2 linked regions of the Oryzias latipes genome follow. The protein of the gene in region 1 purifies or fractionates together with the protein of each later gene. This does not show direct contact. Links are inferred from orthologs where the notes say so. Each region holds a gene or a part of one and is shown on either strand. Other genes may lie near its edges.

What was found. Proteins that work in one complex are often made in the same cells at the same time.
Region 2: the proteins of ret (region 1) and stat3 purify together in Homo sapiens (affinity purification with western blotting; 3 studies listed by BioGRID and IntAct, with this or other methods). This does not show direct contact. The link is inferred for Oryzias latipes from reciprocal best matches to the Homo sapiens genes RET and STAT3.

What each region holds. Positions count from the first base shown.
Region 1 is NC_019873.2:29,914,966-29,919,998, forward strand, and holds the start of ret (proto-oncogene tyrosine-protein kinase receptor Ret), read right to left. Parts: upstream 3,428-5,033; 5' UTR 3,183-3,427; coding exon 3,107-3,182; intron 1-3,106. UniProt on the Homo sapiens protein: Receptor tyrosine-protein kinase involved in numerous cellular mechanisms including cell proliferation, neuronal navigation, cell migration, and cell differentiation in response to glia cell line-derived growth family factors (GDNF, NRTN, ARTN, PSPN and GDF15).
Region 2 is NC_019866.2:6,344,313-6,349,359, reverse strand, and holds the start of stat3 (signal transducer and activator of transcription 3), read left to right. Parts: upstream 1-1,285; 5' UTR 1,286-1,484; intron 1,485-3,618; 5' UTR 3,619-3,640; coding exon 3,641-3,768; intron 3,769-4,083; coding exon 4,084-4,327; intron 4,328-4,425; coding exon 4,426-4,518; intron 4,519-4,607; coding exon 4,608-4,689; intron 4,690-4,772; coding exon 4,773-4,873; intron 4,874-4,990; coding exon 4,991-5,047. UniProt on the Homo sapiens protein: Signal transducer and transcription activator that mediates cellular responses to interleukins, KITLG/SCF, LEP and other growth factors. Once activated, recruits coactivators, such as NCOA1 or MED1, to the promoter region of the target gene.

The DNA.
Region 1 (5,033 bases):
CTGAGAGAACACGAGAGCTGAGATGCAACGATCCATGTTCATCGCTCAGCAAGAAAGCAACAGAACATTTCCCCAAAGAAAATCCGCAGTTTGGAAATTCCTCTGGGGGGTGGGGGGTGGGGGGGGCATCAAACCTTTGTCCAAACTGATGCTAAGCCACAAGATTTCCTTCAGATTCTGCAGAAAGCACAGATCCATATGAGCGATCGTCAAGCTCCAAAACCAACATGGATGTTCTGGAGCTTCAATGTGCAGAAGAAGCTTCACAAGCAGCACAAGGCAGCTGGACGCCATTTATGACGCCTCACAGACGCAGGTGATCCTGCAGACGTTCCTGCAGACGTTCCTGCCGAGAGCAGCCAGTGAGCAATGAGGGGTGGTGTGTGTGGGGGGGTCATTTTAATGTTCACTTTCATGAAGCAGTTATTGAAGGTCCAGAGGGCTCAGACATCAACACAGCTGTCATGCACCTCCAGACACCTCCATCACCTCCACGCTCCTTCATGCACCTCCACTCACCTCCACACACTTCCATCACCTCCACTCACCTCCACTCACCTCCACGCTCCTCCATCACCTCCACGCTCCTTCATGCACCTCCACGCACCTCCATACAGCTTGGTGCAGCCATATCATTGTCATTTGCTGGGCTCAGCCTTCTGGAAGGTTCTAATGTTGCAGCCGTTCAGCAGCAGGTATCTTACAGCCATTTTGAGGGCTACTTAAATCTAAAGGCTTGTTGGAAAAATAAACATGAAGCCAGAGAGACAGATGGAAAATGAGCAAAGGAAGGAAAAGGAGAACATGTTGCTGTGACTGCAGAAATGAGCCGTGCTCTCAGGTGAAACACAACCCTAATTTTTACTGTTAAGAGCACATTGTGCATTAGAATGAGCTGACTTTGCTCTGTGATCCATTTGCTGTTGTAAGTGATGGTCGGGCTCGGTAAGCACGGCTTGGAAACTGGAAAATAACTTGTCAAAACCCATGTGAGACAAGGGGGCTAAATGCCCTGAGGGAGAAATTTCAATCAATGTCTCCTTGTGCTTTCACCGCAGCAAATTAGATTGTTCCTGTGCATGGGAGGGAAGTGTGACCCTGAACTGACTGCAGGATGAGACGCAGAGCTCTGACAGGTACGGGGGGCAGCCTCGTCTGCGATGGAAACAGCAGCGGAAGCAAAAGCCTGGAGTTTACGCTTTGCATCTTCATCCTGGAGTGCAGGAGAAGGGCGGAGTCTCACAGCTTCCACAGGGAAATTCACCTTTTGCACCAAAAAATGCCAAAAATGTTGCAAAAACTCAAAGCTTCGAACCCAATGCTGTGGCTCTGATCATGTTTTTACTGTAAGCAGCTCAGAGAGGAAGTAACCACACAAAACCTTCTAATCAAATGTCTCTTCTACTATCTAAAACCTTCAGCTGCTCCAACAGCAGCTCTGAATCCTCCACTGTTTGGTTGTAATAATGACTTAGACTTTCAGTGGTGCTGGATGTGACATTGAAACGGCATCTATTACACAGAAAAATGTCTGATCCAATCAGGAGCTAAATCAAATAGCAGCAAGTGTCAAAGGAGAGTTATTGGTCTGGTTCTCCTCAAAAAGTGCTGATGAAAGCGACGATGCTGAAGTGAGGAGGAGGAGGATGAGGGGAAGGTGCTCTGGGCTGAAGGAGGAGTGTTAGCACTTTGTTTCAGTTCCTCAGGTCAGAGGTCAGCGCCGGGTCAAAGATACAGTAACAAGGTCAGAGAGGACGACAAACGGATCAATGCTTTAATGTGAAAACATCTGCGCTCCTCCGGCGGATCAATCTGTCCACAGATGAGATTATTTCCACCAGACCCGGATAGAAAAACGCTCAAAAACACAATATTTTAGTTGAATCCAAAACCCAACGAAGTAAGGTGTTGTTGTAATAAATAACAGCAAAAATCTGTGATGGACAGAAACTTCACTTCATCTGCAGTTTCTGTCCCCATGTCGGACTTTAACTAAGAGAAGCTTCTAAATGATCCTTTCAACACGCCACTATTATAGATTTGAATAAAAAACAGCAAACTGTAAACTCCTGAAGGCGGGAAGAACAGAAGTCCTTCAGAGGACGGTGACGCCATCACCCAGAAGATCTTTGTTCCAGTGAACCAGCAGCTCCATGCAGGATGGAATCGGGTTGGCGTGCGCCCTGCACCTCCTGCAAACAAACAGCCATGTTTGCCCAGAGACAGCAGCTGCTGCACACCTGCCTGCAGCGCCTGCCTGGACGCACGGCACGCACGCGGCTCTTTTGTTGCTCGGAGCCGCCAGGTGATGGAGGTGATGGCTGCGGTGCCGGGCCGGACGGGTGTAGATTTCAGCACCCCTTTAATTACCAGCACAGCCTTGACTGGGTAAATCCAGCGGGGGGAGCGGTGACCTTCGGTCCACAGAGGAGGAGCCATGTTTGGGGCTTCAGTCTGAACTTGTTTTCCTCGTGAAAGATCATAAAACCACAGCATTTATTTTATGAAGAGCATAAAGACGCTCTACACCCATAAAGGGGGGATTAGAAGTTTAATAGCCCCCACTTCAGGTGAAATAAAGCAGCAGAAGCTCGATGATGATGGGGCATTTCAGAGCTTTTTGCCCCAACTTCTAACTCTGATTGTGAATCTGTAACAAAAGCAGAGATCTTCTGGGGGTCCAGCCTCCTGAGTGACGCACTCTTTAAATTTAGACCGTGTTGGGACAGTTGGGCTGTGGGATTGTGAATGGGATTATAATATTATGGGGTGTCCGACAGACTGACCGCTCTCTGCGGGCCATCGGAGGAACATCACGCACTCGAATCACGCAGCTGCTGAAAAGCTTTTCGTCATTTTCTCTTTCACCTGAACATGCGCAAACTTCTGCGCACTGAGCTGCTTTTTCCTTCAGATGTTCATGAATTTGTCAAAGTTCCGTCCAGTTTAGCTCTAATATACATCCCGGAAAGTTCTGGTTCCGGTGTCTAACACAAAAAAAACCCGCAGTCCGCAGTGAAAACCACGCAGCCACAGTTACTATAACATGTTTTCCGCTCAAACCGGGTGTGTTTTCCCGGTTATCCGGGATGAACCGGCGCCTTACCTCCAAGCAGCAGCAGCAGCAGCAGCAGCTGCAGCGCAGCGGCTGTTCCCGCACAGAAACCACAGCGTGACTCCATCCCGCACCACCATTAGGGGAAAGTTTTCAACGCAGACACAATCCACGCAAGTTCCTGCTTCCAACCCGCAACAGATACACAACCGGGAAAAGCCCAAAAAGTTCGCGCTGAAAGGGAGAAGACACCCGCAAAAGACAGACCCCCGCGTGCGTCCTGCGCGCGCCGCTCCGGGTAGACAGATGAACTCCTCACCGTCCCACCGACGCGCTGCAGAGAGAGGCTCCTCCAGCGGTGGCTGGGTGTGTGTGTGTGTGTGTGTGTGTGTGTGTGTGTGTGTGTGTGTGTGTGTGTGTGTGTGTGTGTGTGTGTGTGTGTGTGTGTGTGTGTGTGTGTGTGTGTGTGTGTGTATATGGGCAGCTCCACAGGGGTGTGTGTTCGCCCGCGCGGGGGGAGGGGGGTCATTCATCAGCAGCTCATCAACTCATACCTGTTCTGTGGACCTTCATCTTTGTTTTCATTCTGTTCACTTTTATGCAAACATTTTAGAATGACATTTTTTTAAGTTTCTCTGCGGCTTAAAAAAGCTTTAGAAATAAAAATACGAACTATTTGTAATAAAACTAAAACTTACGTAAGAATTCACAGGCAAAGATGATGTTTTATGACGTCATGATGTTCTGAGCGTAAATGTTTCTCACTGAGACATCTGAGTGATTCCTGACAGCTGCACTGCCTTCTTCCCTGGGGGGGTCATCTCCCTTGTTTTGTCCTGGATGTTAGGGACAGACCCGCCTCCCTCGACCGTCTTCATGCTGTGGTTCAGGGACTCTCAGGTATCTGTTTGGGCATTTGCTTTTTTAAATTCTGATTTCATGACTCACTTTTCTTATTTTAGCCTTTTATGCTAACATATCAAGAGCCTTTCATGTGTGGTCAAATTGTGGGAGACCTTTCCCCTGGGCCTGGGGGGCTGAGGTATGACAGGCTGAAGGGATGCTGAGGCGAGGCCAAGGCGGCGTCCTTCCACCCCCTGCCTGATGCCAAAGCGTGAGGCTCTCAGAGCGAACAGGAGGTCACAGAGCTTCCTCTGTTGACAGGAGAACAGCACCTCCTCCTCCTCTGCCATTTTAAAACCAATGATTCCTCTGTTTGCAGATGTTTAGTTTGCATTTCTGTAAAGACATAAATAAGATGAAAACAAAGATGCAGAATCTGCTGGAGACTGTTTATGTGGGCTGATAATGAAACGATTCTCATAAAACTCCTTCAGGTTTGGTTTGGAATCACAAAATCAAAAACGTTGATACGGAGTGGATTCTACAATCTGAACAAGTGTGAAGCACCTCAGAGCATCATGGGAGTTTGAGGACACGATCACATGACATCAGGAGCCGAGCAGGCGGCTGGAGCGCAACAGATAAAGTTTCCATACGGCAGCCTATAGGTATCCTGAGACTCTGTGTGGATCAATAAGACGAGGAAATGCGGCGAAGCGAACATGCTGAGCAGCCGCCGTGCGTTTTCAGTACTGATGATCATGCTCCCAGATGAAGGGGAGGCGGGGCCTGCAGCAGAAGTTCAGGATGAAATAGAAGCAGAATATTGATCAGTGGTCTCATGTTAAAGAAGTCGCTGCAAAGGCGTCGGCACACAAGAACAAACGATGCCGGGATCTCCACCCACTCCAGGTTCCAGTTTGAAGATGCAGAAGGATCTGCACCCTGAGACATTCTGCAGGGGATCCCACCAAACTCGTCTCCACCACCTTTGACCTCCCGCCACTCCACGGGAAACCAACCCTGGCTCCAAATCATCTGTCAATCACAGCTTCCACCGGACCAGCAGCTCACCTGCTTCATTACCCATCCAGTCCAGAACCCTCCACGTTGGTGCGGTTTTCTTCTTGTTACA
Region 2 (5,047 bases), on another chromosome or scaffold:
TGACAATGTCGACATGTGTAAACATCTTGAATTAAAAATAAGCAAAGTGTCATTGATATAGGATTTGGTCCTGCACAACCAAAACTTTCATGGTTTATTTTTCATGGAAACCAGGTGAATTTGTGTGTCTGTTTCTGAATAAAGTGTGTGCACTGCAATTTGAAAAAAAAAAGACTCTGTTCATTAATCTTGAAGAAAAAAAGTCATTTTCTCTTGAAGAAAGGAGCCAAACAAAATGAGAAAAAGCTACTGTAATTGAAATTCTGCAGCTGATAGAATAGATTCAGCCGGTGACACCTCATTTCATTAAAAGCTAAGGACACACGGCTCCAGACAGGAGCAAAGGGTGGTTCCTCTTTGTCTCCCTACAGAGTTGTGATGACCTTGATGTGATGGAGACACATAGACACTCACTCTCTGGCAGAAAACAGCATTAAAATAATCAATGGGTGGGAAAATGCAATTAGGGAGAGTGCACTCTCAGAGCAGGATGGAGAGCAGACTAAAAGAGAAATAAAAAGCATGCACAGGGGTGGAATGATGTTGGTAGAAAATAAGAATGTGTTTATTAATAAGCACATTATTTACAATGGTGGAGGCAGGAAATATGTGTTTTAAGCCTGTAAAATAATACTTTTTTTGTACATTATAGAGTTATTACTTCTAAGAATCATGTGTTTCACTACAGTACATTTGGACTTGTTTAAATTTACAGTCATAACTAACACACTAGGAATAAGGTGAATACATTGCAACAGCAATGTAAGACCTGTTTTGGTTATGTTATTTGCATTTTTAATTAAAAATAAAGAAAACTGTACAACTTTATCGTTTGTTTACATTTTAATATTCAAGCCAGCAGTCAGAGTAGTCAATTAGTCATCATTTCTTTTTTTACTCTTCTACCGTGAAAAAGGTCTGGCTATTGTGAAGCAGTATCATTATCAAATTTGATGACGTCAACGTTGCCGGTAACTCAGATGACTTCCAGGCTGGCTGTTCTCTTGAAATACCAACCCTCCCTCTGAAATAAGCGAAACACACGGGCTTCCGTATAGTTCCGCGGGAGGGAGGGTTTGCTTTGAGGAACAGCTTCGTTGCGACAGCGGTAAACAGAGAAGGCTCAACCAAACTTGCTGCTACATCCCGCCTTATCTCCATATAAAGTCGTTTATAGTTGGTATAAAAAAAATTAGCGACTCTCATTGGCGGAATGAAATGTCAACCAAGTAGATTTGGAAGTTTGTTTGGCTGGAAAGACTGCAGTTTAGTTGATGGGCTGGGCGGGGGGGTACTTGTTTCTGAAAGTGGTTTCTCGTGGTGCGAAGATTACGGTTTGCGTTACACTATATTTGGGAGCACTTTTCCTCGTTTATGACGCTCAATTTCTACTTTTTCTTCGTTAAAAAGTTGTCGCTGACGTCTTTGTGAGCTTGTGTTTTTTGTGGGAAAGAGACCAAACTGCTCCGGATCCAACGAAGGTGGTAAGTCGTGACTCAGCTGTTAACATATTATTACACTAAAAAAAAAAAAAAAAAAACAAAGAAAAATTCAAAATATTGCCATTGTATTAGTTAGTTTTCTCCAAGGATGTCGTGCTAAAGCGAAGCTAGAGCTACAGCCATAACTTAGCTACAGTCAAATGTAATATAATTCTGTGAATGCATCATGCCTAAAGTTAGTGACAGACAGACAGACATCGTGTGCCAGGGGTCTTTCTTACGTAAGTCTTTAAACTAAAGCCATCACACATTTCAATGTTAGTTGCTGAGTGACGTTAGTTAGTAATAATATCACGACCAGGACTCAAAAGTGATGACGTTTTTGTGTTTCTTTTTCGACTATCCGGTGGTTGGTGCCTTAAATTTAAATAATTTACTTGTATGGAGGTCGTTGTTTATTGTTTTTTTCCTTAGTTGTCCCGCCCATCATATTTATGAAGAAAAGTACTGTTGTTCATTCGTAGCACAAATAAGATCTGCAGGTATATTTAAGCCCCCAATAGTTCTGAAAACGTACATAGAATTACATATACATGTATAGTATAAAGCATAAATATGGCTGCATGACAATTTTCTACATAAATATCATAAAATAGCATGCATTGTTGTCCCTGAGCCATCTCGCAGTCCCAGGCTTTGTAAAAGGGAAACTTGGCATGGTGACTGTGCTCTGATGTTTAATAAGGAAGTACTTTCCTGGAATATCACTGACCTTATGTAAGGATTGTGCATTACCAGTAAGTAACCACACAGAAAAGAAAAAAAAACACTACAGCAGTTCTCTTTCTGACTTTCTTATTAATCATTCTGATGATTTCTCAAATAGCAGTGACCTGCATGGAGCTTTGAGAAAGGAAAGAAAACGATTAATCAGTGACTGTAGTGAATTTGTGCGATTTTACATACCTAGATTTCTCAACATGATGCAGCAATGTCTACTTCATATTTCATTAAAATACAAAGATCAAACAGAAAGTTTCAGTGTTGTTGTTGTTGTTGTTGTTTTACTTTTTAGTACAAGGCTTTTCTGAAAATTTGTGATAAAAGTACTCCTGTATTTTTTCATGTAAGGAGGTTCGTTACAAGATTTTGCTTGTATTGCGATTATATATTATTATATATAATTTGCTGCAAAATAACATTAAAATAGTGATAGTACCCTAAAATGAGTTTCCTGTGTTGTGTCAGATAAGCTCTGAATACTCCAGTTTCAGTTTTGCTGTTAGAATAAATAGCATAAAACATTTTTTGTTTGTCCAAATGATATTTATTGCAATGAAAGTTCATACCCTGTATATTATTACAGCTTTGATCTGTATTCTCTGGGCAGGAAGAGCATTATTTTGGCTATTGAGAAGGTCATATGTATGAGTTTATTTTTTGTTTTGCTTTTTTCAAATACAGTGCAAGCATCTAGTTCACATTAGCAGAATCAACAATACAGACACTGTTGTGAGAAAGCTTGTGTAACAATAGTCAAAGCATTGTGTGAGCTTTCGGACAGAAACTGGAGCCTGTAACCTAATATGGGTGGTACAGGACATGTCTTTCTGTTAAATGCCTTGAATGGGAGCTCAATTTGCAAACAAGGAAGCAGTAGCCATCTTTTATCAGCTGAGTCAGCCAGCAGGATGTGATCGATAAATTCAAAAACAACAAAAAGTCCCAGATCGGCAGGTGGTTAATGCTTAAAACACACGCTCGGATTTGAAGGGAAATCCTAATCTGACAGTCGCCTATCGCTTCAGAGGAAATGGTTTGTCTGGGTTTTGATCCATGCCCTCTGCATCTGAGAGGAAGAAGTTTGCTTTGTCGGTGTTTCATGCAAAAGTTGCCGGGGCAATTCTTTGACCAGAGATAAGCTTTTCAATGCTTTACAGCTGTTCACTCTGACCTATATTTTTTAGGGGAAGGCACAGTTTCAGAGAACAGGAAATGACTTTTGGCAACGCGAGGCCTCAGCATTGGCCTGTTGTCGTTTTCAGAGAAATCTGATGTTCAACCATTTCCCATTGGTGCAGTCTGATGAAGAACATTGAGCGCGGTTTTCTAAAGTATCATTTTCTGTTGATTTTCTGCCTGTTTTGTGTTGATAAAGCAGTTTCATCTCTGGCAGATTTGAGGCAGTGCTTGTCAGGATGGCTCAGTGGAACCAGTTACAGCAGCTGGAGACCAGGTATCTGGAGCAGCTCTACCACTTGTACAGCGACAGCTTTCCAATGGAGCTACGCCAGTTTCTTGCACCCTGGATTGAAAGTCAAGACTGGTAAGAAATGATTCAAGTCTTTGTTTAAAAAGTCTGCTTTTATCTGCTAGATAAAGCTGACCTTGATCTTTCAGGGCTTTTAGGTTTGCAGCTATGAAGTCATAGCTCATATAAACACTTTCTCTCACATTTTATGTTACTGCAATGCACTTTACCATGTTCAATTTGAACTTTTTGTGTTGTGATCACACACAAAAATTATAGTCTTTAAATATTTTCACAAAGTTGGGATTTCTTTTCAATAAACCTGGGAATTTTGTGTTGTTGGAATCTGGAAATCGATATGTTTTTGTGTTCCCCCCACTATTTTCTAAGGGCCTATGCTGCCAACAAAGAATCCCACGCCACCCTGGTGTTCCACAATCTCCTGGGAGAAATTGATCAGCAGTATAGCCGTTTCCTCCAGGAGAACAATGTCCTCTACCAACACAACCTGCGCAGGATAAAGCAGCATCTGCAGAGCAAGTATCTGGAGAAGCCAATGGAAATCGCCCGCATTGTCGCCCGCTGTTTATGGGAGGAACAGCGACTGCTGCAGACAGCCACCTCTACTTCCCAGGTGCCTAGTCTTTCTCAAACTTCAAGGTTTTATTGGTGAAATTACCGGTAATTTGAACGGGAACGTTTGAATGAGGCGTGCTGCTTCGTCTCTCACAGGATGGTTCAGCAGCCCATCCCACCGGAACAGTCGTGACGGAGAAGCAGCAAATTCTGGAGCACAACCTTCAAGATATCAGGAAGCGCGTTCAGGTTAATATTGTTCAAAACCCACTTGGTTTTTATTTAAACACGAAAAAAAGTTCTATATATACATGTATATATATCTTTATATTTTGCAGGACATGGAACAGAAGATGAAGATGCTTGAAAACCTGCAAGACGACTTTGATTTTAATTACAAAACCCTGAAAAGCCAAGGAGGTAGAATATTTACGAGTGCTGAGTTATTCTCACCCAGGATTGTGAAGACTAACGTGCCCGATCACCTGTTGCTCCAACACTAGAGCTGAACCAGGACTTGAATGGAAACAGCCAGGCAGCTGCCACTCGACAGAAGATGGCTCAACTTGAGCAGATGTTGAGCGCTTTAGATCAGCTCAGGCGGGTCAGTGGTTTTCATACGGTGACGGGCTAAACCCAAACGATGTGGGTCATTTCATTGGCTTTTGGTGGGTATAGATGGATAACTCTTTTTTTTTTTTTTTTTTCACTGGAATTGCAGCAAATTGTGACAGAAATGGGAGGCCTGCTGACTGCCATGGACTACGTACAAAAGAAT